3 linked regions of the Callithrix jacchus genome follow. The protein of the gene in region 3 purifies or fractionates together with the protein of the main gene of each other region. This does not show direct contact. Links are inferred from orthologs where the notes say so. Each region holds a gene or a part of one and is shown on either strand. Other genes may lie near its edges.

Region 1 (3,646 bases), on a different chromosome or scaffold from region 3:
AGCATCCGAGGTGATTCTAATTATGTGGTCAGGCTGAAGAACCACTGCCTCAAAATGCTCGTTCTATTAATGTTTCAAAAGCGTTAAACTTCCCAACGGGAACAAGTTTTCCCAGGCCTTTGTGATTTGACTGAGGGTTTTGGTTGCAGTCTGATATGTCCTGATTAGTTAGAGAAAGCCTGGTCTTTCTGAACCTTCCTTTGCCCAAGTTTGGCATCCAGCCTTGTCTAAGGAAAGAAATATCACTTTTCAGAATACTGTGCTAAGGAGAGAGAATACAGTGTTTCATCAGTTTTTACGAATGAGATTGAGGTGCTGAGGGCCTTGGAAATTATATGGGGTTAAGATCAAAACTATTTACTAGGTAGAATGTTAGGGCATAATATCCAGCTGTGGACAAAATTGCTATCAAACGAGACCCTAAAGTGGATTACTCAGATCACTTAGCAATGTTTTGCCAAATTCAGAAGTTTTCTTTTGACTGTTAAAATCTACTTCTTAGATCACTTATCAAATAAAAAAGCACATTAGCAACTTCTTTAGGAGGGACATTACATCTAGTGCCTTCTTGGCAAACGCCTTCAGGCTTCCTAACGGTGGTTGTCCACAAGGGAAACCGTCCCATTCTTCATTTTTCCTATTGAGATGGTAAACAACCTTGTTATGTTTTCTCACATTGCTAGTATAAATGCCCTTGACAGATTACCAGGAAGATGGAAATGCTGTCATCTCTTTGCATGTCCCAGAGCACCTGCTTGTGATTTAATAGGGAAGGTATGATAGAAAAGGGAAGGTGTGCTGGATGTATGGTCTCTTCACCTTGCTATGACCTTGCTTTGTCTTTGTGTATTTATCCAAGGACCAGGAACCACCAAGACGACCAAGTCCTCCGCGGTGCCTCCGGGCCTCCCTGTGTATTTGGACCTGTGCTACATTCCTAACCACAGCAATAGTAAGAACGTTGATGTGGAATTTTTCAAGAGAGTGCGGTCGTCCTACTACGTGGTGAGTGGGAATGACCCTGCTGCTGAGGAGCCCAGCCGGGCTGTCCTGGACGCCTTGTTGGAAGGAAAGGCCCAGTGGGGCAGCAACATGCAGGTGAGAGCCCCTCAACAGTGTCTGCACCACAGATCGAGCTGTGTCCAGAGGCAATGGGACAGAATCATGTTTAAAGAGGCACCTCATGTAGATGGTTGTGGATCCACAGGATGTGTCTCCTGTGTCTGCCACACATGAAATATCCTGAGAACAAAGTCAGTTTAACACACAGTAGGTAGTCTGAAATAATATTTTTGGCACCACCACCAACCATAGCTTTGGAGGAAAGCCACCTTAACTAAAGCAGAAATTGTTTATTCGCAAAATGGGCCCAAGATTAATTGTCCCTCCAGTGTGCCGAAAGTATTGTGTGTGTGAATCAAAGCAGTCATATTTCCATATGAGAGCTGCTGAGGAATTGCCTTTCTTCCTTTGTGTTTTATGAGTAGACTGCAGCGAGGAATATAGCCATTTGGAAAACAAGCTGTCCATGTGAAATTCCACAGTAGGAGCATTGCTGAATAGAGTCCCTTACTTACAGGACACTCCCAACTCCCAGACATCGTGCCTGACCACAGACCATTCCTTATTCATTTAGAAACAAGGTCTCCCTATTTTGCCTGGACTGGTCTCGAACTCCTGGGCTTAAATGATTCTTAGAACTAGCCATTATTAATTCAGCTGTGATCTTTGCTTATTAAGTTTTATTTGTGGTTCTGTACAGAATTACCTAGTAAACTGTGCTTGATATTGTACAGAATTACTTGTTATTTAATCACATGAAATCTAATGAGAGGCACCCACCCAGTGGCTTCTTACTGAATACTAGATGGAATTTATACTATTCAGGACATTACCTACCCACCCCATATCTCTATCCCCAACCACATACATAAAGTAAAGGTTCAGATCTGTTCTCAGGACAAAATGTTACACACAATGAGTGGGCTTTTGAGGGCTTTAAAGTGCTTGATAAAACTCTTTGGATGAAATATGCAGTACCTTTTATTCAAAACTTACCAGTTGTGTTAAAGGAAATACAAGAAATTGTACCCTAACAGAAGCAGTTTTCTGAACGGTAAAGAACTGAGAAACTGACAGTGGATCTAGGTGAACTAATTGACAAGTGATTAGTTGCTTTTGGTTCTAGGCTTCAACTTCCCTTAGAAACAATAGCTTTTCTTTGCAGCTTTATCTGGCTCCTGGAAAATATATGTTGAAAAGTCCTTTGCATTTCTTGAGGAAAATAGAAAACTTTTCTCTCATTTCCCTTCTTCTTCCAGTGATCTAATACCTTGCTATTCCATTTTTTTCATACGGTTTCTGTTTCTGCCCTTAAATAGCTATTTTATTCTCTACCCACAGGTGACACTGATACCAACTCATGACTCAGAAGTGATGAGGGAATGGTACCAGGAGACCCATGAGAAACAGCAAGACCTCAACATCATGGTTTTAGCAAGCAGCAGCACAGTGGTTATGCAAGATGAATCCTTCCCTGCATGCAAGATTGAACTGTAAAAACCAAGGCCAGCCACACCACAGGATCTGAACTTTGTTTCCAGAAATTCTTCAATTTGAAATCACCTTTTCTAAAAAGTCAATTCATCTAGTTAAGTCGCTGAACAATTACCTGCCAAATGCTATACTGTGTCATGGTGATGCAAGTCACTAAATTTCTCAGTTTTTGCTGATTGCTAAGGGAAGTAACAGTATTCCCACAATAGGGTTCAAGTTCCTGCGAAATTACCTACCCCAGTTCATCTCTGCTGAACATTTGGAAACCATGCACTAGCCAACCCAACTGACTTCTGCTAGGTAGAGGCATTTGTCTTAGAGAGAGAGAGAGCGCGGGAGAGAGTGAGAGAGAGTGAGAGCACAAAGAGAACGCAGGAGAGAGAGAGAATGAGAAAGAAAAGGAATGCAAGAGAAGGAGATGTAATGACAGAGAGTTCTGGTGAGATACCCAGAGAGAAAAAGAGAGAGCAGGGTGGGGTAAGGAGGAGAAAATAACCAACTATTAGGTCTGCATTTTCTCAGGCAGTAGGCATTCTTCAGTCTACATAGGCAAAGTTTTCTGTTTTTTGTCAGTCTGAGTCATCAAAGAGTCTTAATTTTCTAAAACAAGTTGTCTAGAAGAAAGTAAAAAGAACAAAATTTGTTATGAGGGCATGTGATATTTTCACATCTGAATTAGGCTCCTTCAGTTTGAAGCCTGCACACTGACATAATGTAGTGAGTATAGACCGGCCATGCAAGTGGTTTGGGCCCCATTCAGAACTCTCAGACTCTAAACACACAAGTAGATTTATCTAAGGCATGCTCCCAGCATTTGTCCACCCACGTAGTCCACTCTGAGTCGATTCACCTGCATGCAGCAACACCCAAGTCCACCCCAATTAACTGAAGCAAATACCAAAGCAGTTGGGAGTACATACGGTAGACAATTTGCCTTAGGAAGTGACTTGAATGTACAAAGATACTTGATGCACTTATTTTTTAATGTGAGACAGCAAGTTTATAAAACATCCATATAGGATTATAGATACGTAAAGGAGCACGTGGGTGAGCGTGTGTGGGGGTCTAGAAGCTGATCTGATTGGTCCAA
Region 2 (3,746 bases), on a different chromosome or scaffold from region 3:
AAATGTGTTTTAAACATCAGCACTGTGAGAAAGGGGTGGCAAGTAGCCAGAGCCAGAGGAGGGCCAGGGAGGGCCAACCTGGACCAGGGTACAGCAAAAGCAAAGGCCCTGAGGCCCAGGACCGGGCTGTGAGCATGGCTGAGTCTTGAGAAGCAGACTGTCCCGTGCAGTCAGCTCTTATCATGTTTAGCTTTATTTTTTTTTTTGAGACAGGATTTTGCTCTGTTGCCCAGACTGAAGTGCAGTGGCGCAGTCCTAGCTCACTGCAGCCTCTAGCTCCTGGGTTCAAGAGATCCTCCCTCCTCAGCCTCCTGAGTAGCTGGGACTACAGATGTGCACCACCAGGCCCGGCTCATTTTTATATTTTCAATAGAAACAGGGTTACACCATGTTGCCCCAGCTGGTTTTGAACTCCTGACCTCAAACGATCCTCCCACCTTTACCTCCCAAAGGGATGAGATTACAGGCGAGAGCCACCCCACCCAGACTTGGCATGCTTTTTGTCGCACGCAGATATTGCCCCATTCAGGTGGGGAAGGCATAGGAAGGGGAAGTGGCCACAAAGGTTGCACACAGCAGACAGGATTTCTAGCCCCACTTTCTGCCCCATGAAGAGTCAGGAAGCCCCGAGGACCCACTGGGACAATGAGACGACGGACATTTCCTTCCTCTCCAGCAGCAGCCGAGAGGTGACTTGAGACCAGCAGGAGCGCAGGGCTGTTCAGACAACACCCAAGCCCTGTGCCCCCATCCTGGGTCACCCCAGAGGGGAGCCTCGTGCTGAGGTGGGCCCTCCTTGATCTCACTCCTTTTCAGTTCCCTACCTACTGAGCGCCTACTGTATACCCAGCCCTGTGGCTGTAAACCAAATTCAGTCCCTGCCTCCAAGGGGCCCACACTCCATCTCCCAGGGCCTGCTCAGTGCCCCCTCCACCTTCCAGATGTTTTTTTTTTTTCTTTTTTGAGACAGATTCCCTCCCACTCTGTCACTCAGGCTGGAGTGCAGTGTTGAGATCTCAGCTCACTGCAACCTCTGCCTCCTACCAGGTTCAAGTGATCCTCCCACCTCAGCCTCCTGAATAGCTGGGATTACAGGTACCTGCTACCATGGCAGTTAATTTTTGTATTTCTAGGAGAGACAAGGCTCCTCCATATTGGCCAGGCTGGTCTTGAACTCCTGACCTCAAGTAATCGGCCAGCCTCGGCCTCCCAAAGTGCTGGGATCATAAGCGTGAGCCACGGACTCGGTCTCTTCTCATGTTCTGTCCACTGCTGGGTCTTGGATGGGGCACTTCCCTTCCACTGGACACACCAGTCATAGCAGTTTCTCATCGAAAAACCCCCTCCTCAGGGACCTCCCCACCTCTTCCCCCTTCCATGCCACAGTTTCCTCATCTGTAAGTCAGGGATGAAAACACCAGTTCCTGCACTGTGGGTTACTGAGGACTGAGGGGATTATCCCTGGGTCAGGGCATGCATTTGAAAGGCCTCAGTTATATTATTAGTGTTGTTATTTACAGCTATACCCCACCCCCCATGCCTGGCAGACAGCTGGCACTTGTCCAGGGAATAAGAGATAGGGGAGCAGCCAGGGGCACCCCAGCCTCACCTTTCACGATGCTGGAGAAGGTGGCAGAGTGTCGGGACACAAAGACCTTGAGCTGTTCATCAAGGTTGCAGATGCCTGGATCCACATCCCAAGACCGGATGCCTGGTGGGAGGGAGGCATCGAGGCAGGAGTTCAGCCAGGCTTCCCAGCCCCCAGAATATTTCAATAACTAGCACCCTGTGGGTAGGGAGCGCCCCAGCCTCCTCCCTTCACTCACAGCTTGGAGACTCAGAAGTACCCAACACCTTCAGGTCTCGATGCAGCTGAGCCAGGAGACCCAGAGCACACCTCATCATTTTACAGATAAGACTCAGCAACCAAGCCTCCACCTCCTCCATCTCCACCTCCTTGCTGCTCCTATGCCCTGCCAGGCCCGTTTCCACTCACCGCCTTTGCAACAGCTGTTCCTTCTGCCTGGAAGCCCATCCCCCTGCCACCCCCACCTGTTCCTACTGGCCCAGGGGCCCTTCCCCCTTATCACCTTCAGGTGCTAAGACTGGCTGTCCCCTCAGCCCCTTGCAGACTTCTGATCCCTCCTGACACCATGTGAGCTGGAAGCTTGTTCTATCTCCTCATTTGCTTTGGATCCATCCCCCCCACCAAACCTGTGCTGGCAGGGCTGAATCTGTCTATCATCCCAGCCATGTCCCTGTGCCCACTGCCTGGCGCATAGCAGGTGCTCACTAAACACTCCCCAAGCACATGAAGCGAGGTGCGCGTTCCTGTCACATTTTACAATCAATGAAACACGCAGGTCCAGATTCTCCAAGGAATGGGGGATGAACACCCATCTCCACCCACGGGCGCATCATGCCCGCAAGTCCCACTGTGCCAGTCCCAGTGTGCCAAGTGGCTGCAGGTGAACCGGGCAGGTGCACCTATGACTCACCTCCCTAAGTGCTAAATCCCCCGGGCAAGCCGCACCCACCCACACCCCAATTAGCAGCTCCTTGTGCTGCAACAGAAAGCGGGCCCCGGGGCTCCAGGCCAGCCTCCCCCAAATCTGCTTCTCCCTTCGTTAGCTCTCTAAGCTGCTAAAACCTAAGACCCAAAGCGTCCCCAAGCCCGCCCCCTGGGCGGGCCAGCCAGGCGGGAAGCGGAGCAATGGCCCAACTGCGCGGGTCCCCACGCCTAGGCCCGTGACCCGTGACCCCTCCCCGATTTTCACCCGGAGTTGGGGCGGGGCAGCCCTGCCCAGCCCAGGCCCCGATGCCACTTCCCCCGCGGGTACCCACAGGCACCCCGCCTTTGCCTGCGTCACGTGCCTAACGGTGAAGGGGACCCAGCCCCGGGCCCGCGATCCCCGCCCCAGAGCCTGGGCCCCGCCGCCGCAGCCGCCGCCCACCACCCGGCCCCGGGGCCAGGCGCGAAGCGTGCCCGCCTCCCGGGCTGTCGCGCGCCCCCGGGCCAGCCCGACCTCGTTCGAGCTCCTCTAAGACGTAGGTGAGGAGCCCCGGGCACCCGAACTCGCTGCCCACCACGAGGAGCAGCGAACTCGGGGCCGCGGCATCCCCGAGCCCAGGCACAGCCGCCATCTTCGCACCGCCCCGACGTTCTCAGCGCCCGCCCCGCTGGCCCCGCCTCTTAAAGGGGCTGCACCGGAAGAACTGAAGACCCCGCCCGGAACCACCCCAACCCCCGCCCCTTTTTGTCGACCACCTACTGGCCCTTTCAGGTCATGGAGAGCAGGGAATGCGGGTGCTAAAGGGGTTGGCGGACTCCTGGGTGTCTGTTTGGGAGCTGCTTCTCCCAAGGACCATTCATTCTTTTTTTTTCATTGAACAAGCTTTGATCGCCTGTCTGTTGCATGTAGGTCAGAATTCCTGCCCTCCACGAACTCACATCACTTAACAGTAGGCCCAGTCAGAACCTGGCGCCCCTGGATGCTCCCAGCTCCCTAGGTCAGGGCTTGAACAGAGAAGAGAAATCTATTTATAGGTAGAGCTTTGAGCGATGTGTAGGAGTTTGCCTTACATGAGTGGTGGGGCAAGAGCACGTGAGGCAGAGGTTACAGCACGTGGAAAGTTTTCGAGGCACGAGAGTACATGTGTGTTTGGGATACAACAGGGGGAACCCCGGGCCTGCATGGAACAGGGCAACACTTATTCTGCACCACCTGCGTGCCAGGCATTTTACT
Region 3 (3,746 bases):
CCCGGCCAAAACCAAACGTCTTTAACCTATGTCCTCCCTCTGGTTGTCATCCGTCTCTACTCCCCTCAGACCAAAACACTGGTCTCTATAGATTCTAATCAGCCTTCACTCTCTCCTCCACCCACTCCAGCCAGGCTTGCCTCTCCCTCCAGGAAACTGCCCAGGACAGGGTCCTCAGCGATCTGCATACTGCCAAATGGAATCCAGTATCCCAGTCTCCATTCTCACCCCCTCAGCATCATTTGAAGCCTGCTCCCTTTGACTCCCCGGGGACACATTCTCGCGGGTTTCCTCCTATCAACCTGCAGCTCCTGCTCAGCTCCTTTGCAGATTCTGACTCGACTTCCAGATCTCACGGTGGTCTGGGCTCAGTCCTGATAGCTGGCCTGGTCTCTCTACACCCACCTGCCTCAGATCCACAGTTGAAACACTGACCTAGATTAGATCCTCTGTGCCAGTACCTTCACTAGGATGTCTAAAGGATGTTTCAAGTGAACATGGTCAAAATTTAATTCCCCTTTCTTCCACCTCACTGCTACCCTTGCCTAGCTTCCTCACTGCAGCAAAAATGGCCACATTGCTCCCAGTTACTGGAGACAAAACCTACTTATCTTTGATTCCTCCCTTGTCTCTACTTCTGATACACGCCCAAATCGTCCTGCTTTTTTTTTTTATCTCCATGGCCACTTTATTTTTCTTTGAGAACGCTACAATATCCCAGCCTTGTTCTTTTTTTTTTTTTTTTTGAGACAGAGTCTCTGTTGCCAGGCTGGAGTGTAGTGGTACGATCTCAACTCACTGCAGCCTCCGCCACCTGGCTTCAAACGATTCTCCTGCCTCAGCCTTCTGAGTCGCTGGGATTACAGGCACCCACCACCACACCCAGATAATTTTTTGTATTTTTAGTAGAGATGGGGTTTCGCCATGTTGGCCAGGCTAATCTTGAACTCCTGACCTCAGGTGATCCACCCACCTCGGCCTCCCAAAGTGCTAGGATTACAGACGTGAGCCACCGTGGCCGTCTCCTTGTTCATTCTTTGTATTCTTTCACAACTTTGTGCTTCCCCCAGCTGAATTTGTGATATTCTCTTGTACCAGATGAGAGGGTCTCCACGAACACACAGACCTGGGACACCAACCACCCACAAGTTCCTGTTACAATTATTTGGGGAGTTTTTAAAATTTGCTGATGCCTAGGGTCCACTCCCAGCAGTTGATTCAACAGGTCTGAGGTGGGATCTAAGCATAGAAGGTCAGAGGGCTGTAAAAGTGCCCCTGGTGATTCCAGCTGGTGTCTAGCTATGGGAGAGCAACTTTTGCCTTGCTGGTGATTCCCAGGGGTGCAGAAGGACTGCTGGGTGTGTAACTGTATTCCATATTTTAGCATCTGATTCACTGGGTCAGAAATGGGTGTTTGCTAAATAAAGACTCAACAAAACTCCTGCTTGCAGGGGGCCCTCCCAAGGCTCTAACTTTTTCCAGGCTCCCTCCCATATAGGTGGGTAACTTCACCCCAAAGGTTCTGGAGGGGAGTCACAGTGAGTGAATCTTCGGGAAGAGGCAAGCCTGGAAAGATGGCCTCAGAGAACAGTAGGCACAAATCCTTTCTCAAGAAGGGCCAAGGCACTTTAAAGAAACTTGAAATCAGCACATTTTTACATACAAGCAGCCACCTCTGCCCATCTGTGCCCCAGATACGGGAGGACTTCGAAAAGGGATAAACCATTTTCGCACACTCTTCAGCGATGGGGCAAAAGTAACGGACCTAGTCTGCGGGAGCTGTCCCTGCCGACCCTCTGCCGCGTCTTGACCCGCGGCGACGGCGCTGCCCCTTGGCTGCCCCTTCCGCTCTCGTAGGCGCGCGGGGCCGCTACTCACGCGCGCACTGCAGGCCCTTGCGCACGACGCCCCAGATGAAGTCGCCGCAGAGGTCGCACCACGTGTGCGTGGCGGGCCCCGCGGGCTGGAAGCGGTGGCCACGGCCCGGGACCAGCTGCCGTGCGGGGTTACGCGCAGTACTCCGCGCGATGCGCAGCGCGTTGGCACGCTCCAGCCGAGTGCGGCCCTGCCCGGCGCGCCCGGTGGGTGCCAGCTCCCGCAGCTCAATGAGCTCAGGTTCTGCCGACATGGCCCGGTCGGACCGGGGCTTGGCTGGCTTTGGGCGCTAGGAAGCGCGGGCCGGGCGGGGCCGCAGGGCGGGTCTGACTTTAGCACCGCCCCCGAGATCTAGGCTGACGAGGCGGGAAGGAGCTGAGAGCCGCGCAATGGAAACCTGGGTGGGGGGGACTGTGGGGCCCGAAGGCGGGGTTGGGCGTGTGTCGGGGTGGGGGGCGCTCTCGCAGATCCCCGGCCTTGCCCTTCCTTCCCTCCTTCGTCCCCTCCTCACCCCCAACCCCCGACGGCCACGACGCCGGCGACCGCAAAACACCACGTGGACCCGTGTTTCTGGAGGCCAGCTTTACCATGCTAGAGGAAGAGGGTCCCCGCATCCGGCCCTCGCCCTCCCGCCCCGGTTTGCTGAGGCAAAGCACTTGGCCTGCCCACAGGGTGGAGCAGGAAGTCTCAAGCCTTCCCTTGGGGAGGGGAGGAGGGGGATGGGTCAGCACCTTTACCGCCCGCTTTGCTCTCCACCACAGAGACTGGGGCTCTGGCAGAGGCTGGCCCGTGATCTTGAGATTCAGGGGTGCGTTCTGAGTGGATTCCCTTGGCATGGGTTGGTCAGCCCTCAGCAAGGACAGCCCTCATTTGGCTCTGTCACCCTGGGCTGCCAGGACACAAGTCTTTTTATGCTTTTCCCAGTGCTTGACTTGGCACTTCCTGTAGGCAGGTGGGTACTCAGGATCTCAGCACATGTGGGGGATGTGGGAGTAGGGCTTAGGGGTCCAAGGTCCTAGGATATCCTCACCTTTGGCAATACCACTCATTCTGGCATCGTGAGCAGCGCTTGGAAGCCTCTGCACTGCAGTAGGCACAGTGGGGCCGCTCTGGAGCTACTGCCTCTAGCACATCCAGCCTGTAGGTCTCAGCCCACCTTGGGGAGAATCAGGAAGGTCTGACTGGCCCTGGAAGGTGGGAGCACCCCTGCCCACATCCATGCCTCCTGCATCCCACCCACCCCACCCTGCCAGTTCCACAGGCCTTACCTTTGTGCCTGCAGCCGCAAGTCTTGCTCTGAGGGGCTGAACACATGCTGGAGCTGGTGCTTGGCAACTGCCTGCCACTTGCCTCTGTTCTCTCGCTCTAGCCGCTCCCAGATTTCTGGGATCTAGGGGAGAGAAGTGGAGAGTGGCAGGAAGGAGCTGGTAAAGTAGGACAGTGGTCCTGAGCAGCTAACTTTCCAGTGCCTACCTGTTCCAACACCAGGTCCTTCTTAGGGGGCTGGGTTTCAGCCAGGGCCAGGTGGGCCAGGAAACTCTGCAGGTGGGCCAGGTTGGGCAGCTGGTCCAGTAGGGTGTCTGTGAGGAAGGCCCGAAGCTGCAAGGGTATCCAGTGGAGGCCAGTGTGATGCAGGTGCTGGCCAGGGGGCCAAGGAAAAGGAAGGGGCTGGGTTGGGCTGAGCATGCCTGTAGGGACCCATGTCCCACTAGCTGCTGTGTCACCTGAGGCCCAAGGACTGAAAAGAGTACTGGGACTGAGGTGGGTGGGCAAAGATAAACAGCAGGGACGCAGTTGGGGTAGGATGGGGAGGGGTAGTGCTGGGGCTGTGGGGATTGGTGTGGAGGGAGTCCGACCTTGAGTAGGTGTCC

Evidence for each region.
Region 1: the proteins of RASSF1 (region 3) and MAP1B purify together in Homo sapiens (affinity purification with mass spectrometry; 3 studies listed by BioGRID and IntAct, counting the BioPlex papers as one, with this or other methods). This does not show direct contact. The link is inferred for Callithrix jacchus from reciprocal best matches to the Homo sapiens genes RASSF1 and MAP1B.
Region 2: the proteins of RASSF1 (region 3) and MAP1S purify together in Homo sapiens (affinity purification with mass spectrometry; 4 studies listed by BioGRID and IntAct, counting the BioPlex papers as one, with this or other methods). This does not show direct contact. The link is inferred for Callithrix jacchus from reciprocal best matches to the Homo sapiens genes RASSF1 and MAP1S.

What each region holds. Positions count from the first base shown.
Region 1 is NC_133503.1:138,952,495-138,956,140, reverse strand, and holds part of MAP1B (microtubule-associated protein 1B), read left to right. Parts: intron 1-859; coding exon 860-1,098; intron 1,099-2,403; coding exon 2,404-2,559; 3' UTR 2,560-3,646. UniProt on the Homo sapiens protein: Facilitates tyrosination of alpha-tubulin in neuronal microtubules. Phosphorylated MAP1B is required for proper microtubule dynamics and plays a role in the cytoskeletal changes that accompany neuronal differentiation and neurite extension.
Region 2 is NC_133523.1:16,444,100-16,447,845, reverse strand, and holds the start of MAP1S (microtubule-associated protein 1S), read right to left. Parts: upstream 2,353-3,746; 5' UTR 1,948-2,352; coding exon 1,827-1,947; intron 1,712-1,826; coding exon 1,610-1,711; intron 1-1,609. UniProt on the Homo sapiens protein: Microtubule-associated protein that mediates aggregation of mitochondria resulting in cell death and genomic destruction (MAGD). Plays a role in anchoring the microtubule organizing center to the centrosomes. Binds to DNA. Plays a role in apoptosis.
Region 3 is NC_133516.1:32,913,340-32,917,085, forward strand, and holds the start of RASSF1 (ras association domain-containing protein 1), read right to left. Parts: upstream 2,154-3,746; 5' UTR 2,129-2,153; coding exon 1,879-2,128; exon of another isoform or gene 1,766-1,878; intron 1-1,765. Other genes in the region: ZMYND10 (zinc finger MYND domain-containing protein 10), read right to left, coding at 2,742-2,817, 2,906-3,031, 3,144-3,265, 3,349-3,474, 3,732-3,746. UniProt on the Homo sapiens protein: Potential tumor suppressor. Required for death receptor-dependent apoptosis. Mediates activation of STK3/MST2 and STK4/MST1 during Fas-induced apoptosis by preventing their dephosphorylation.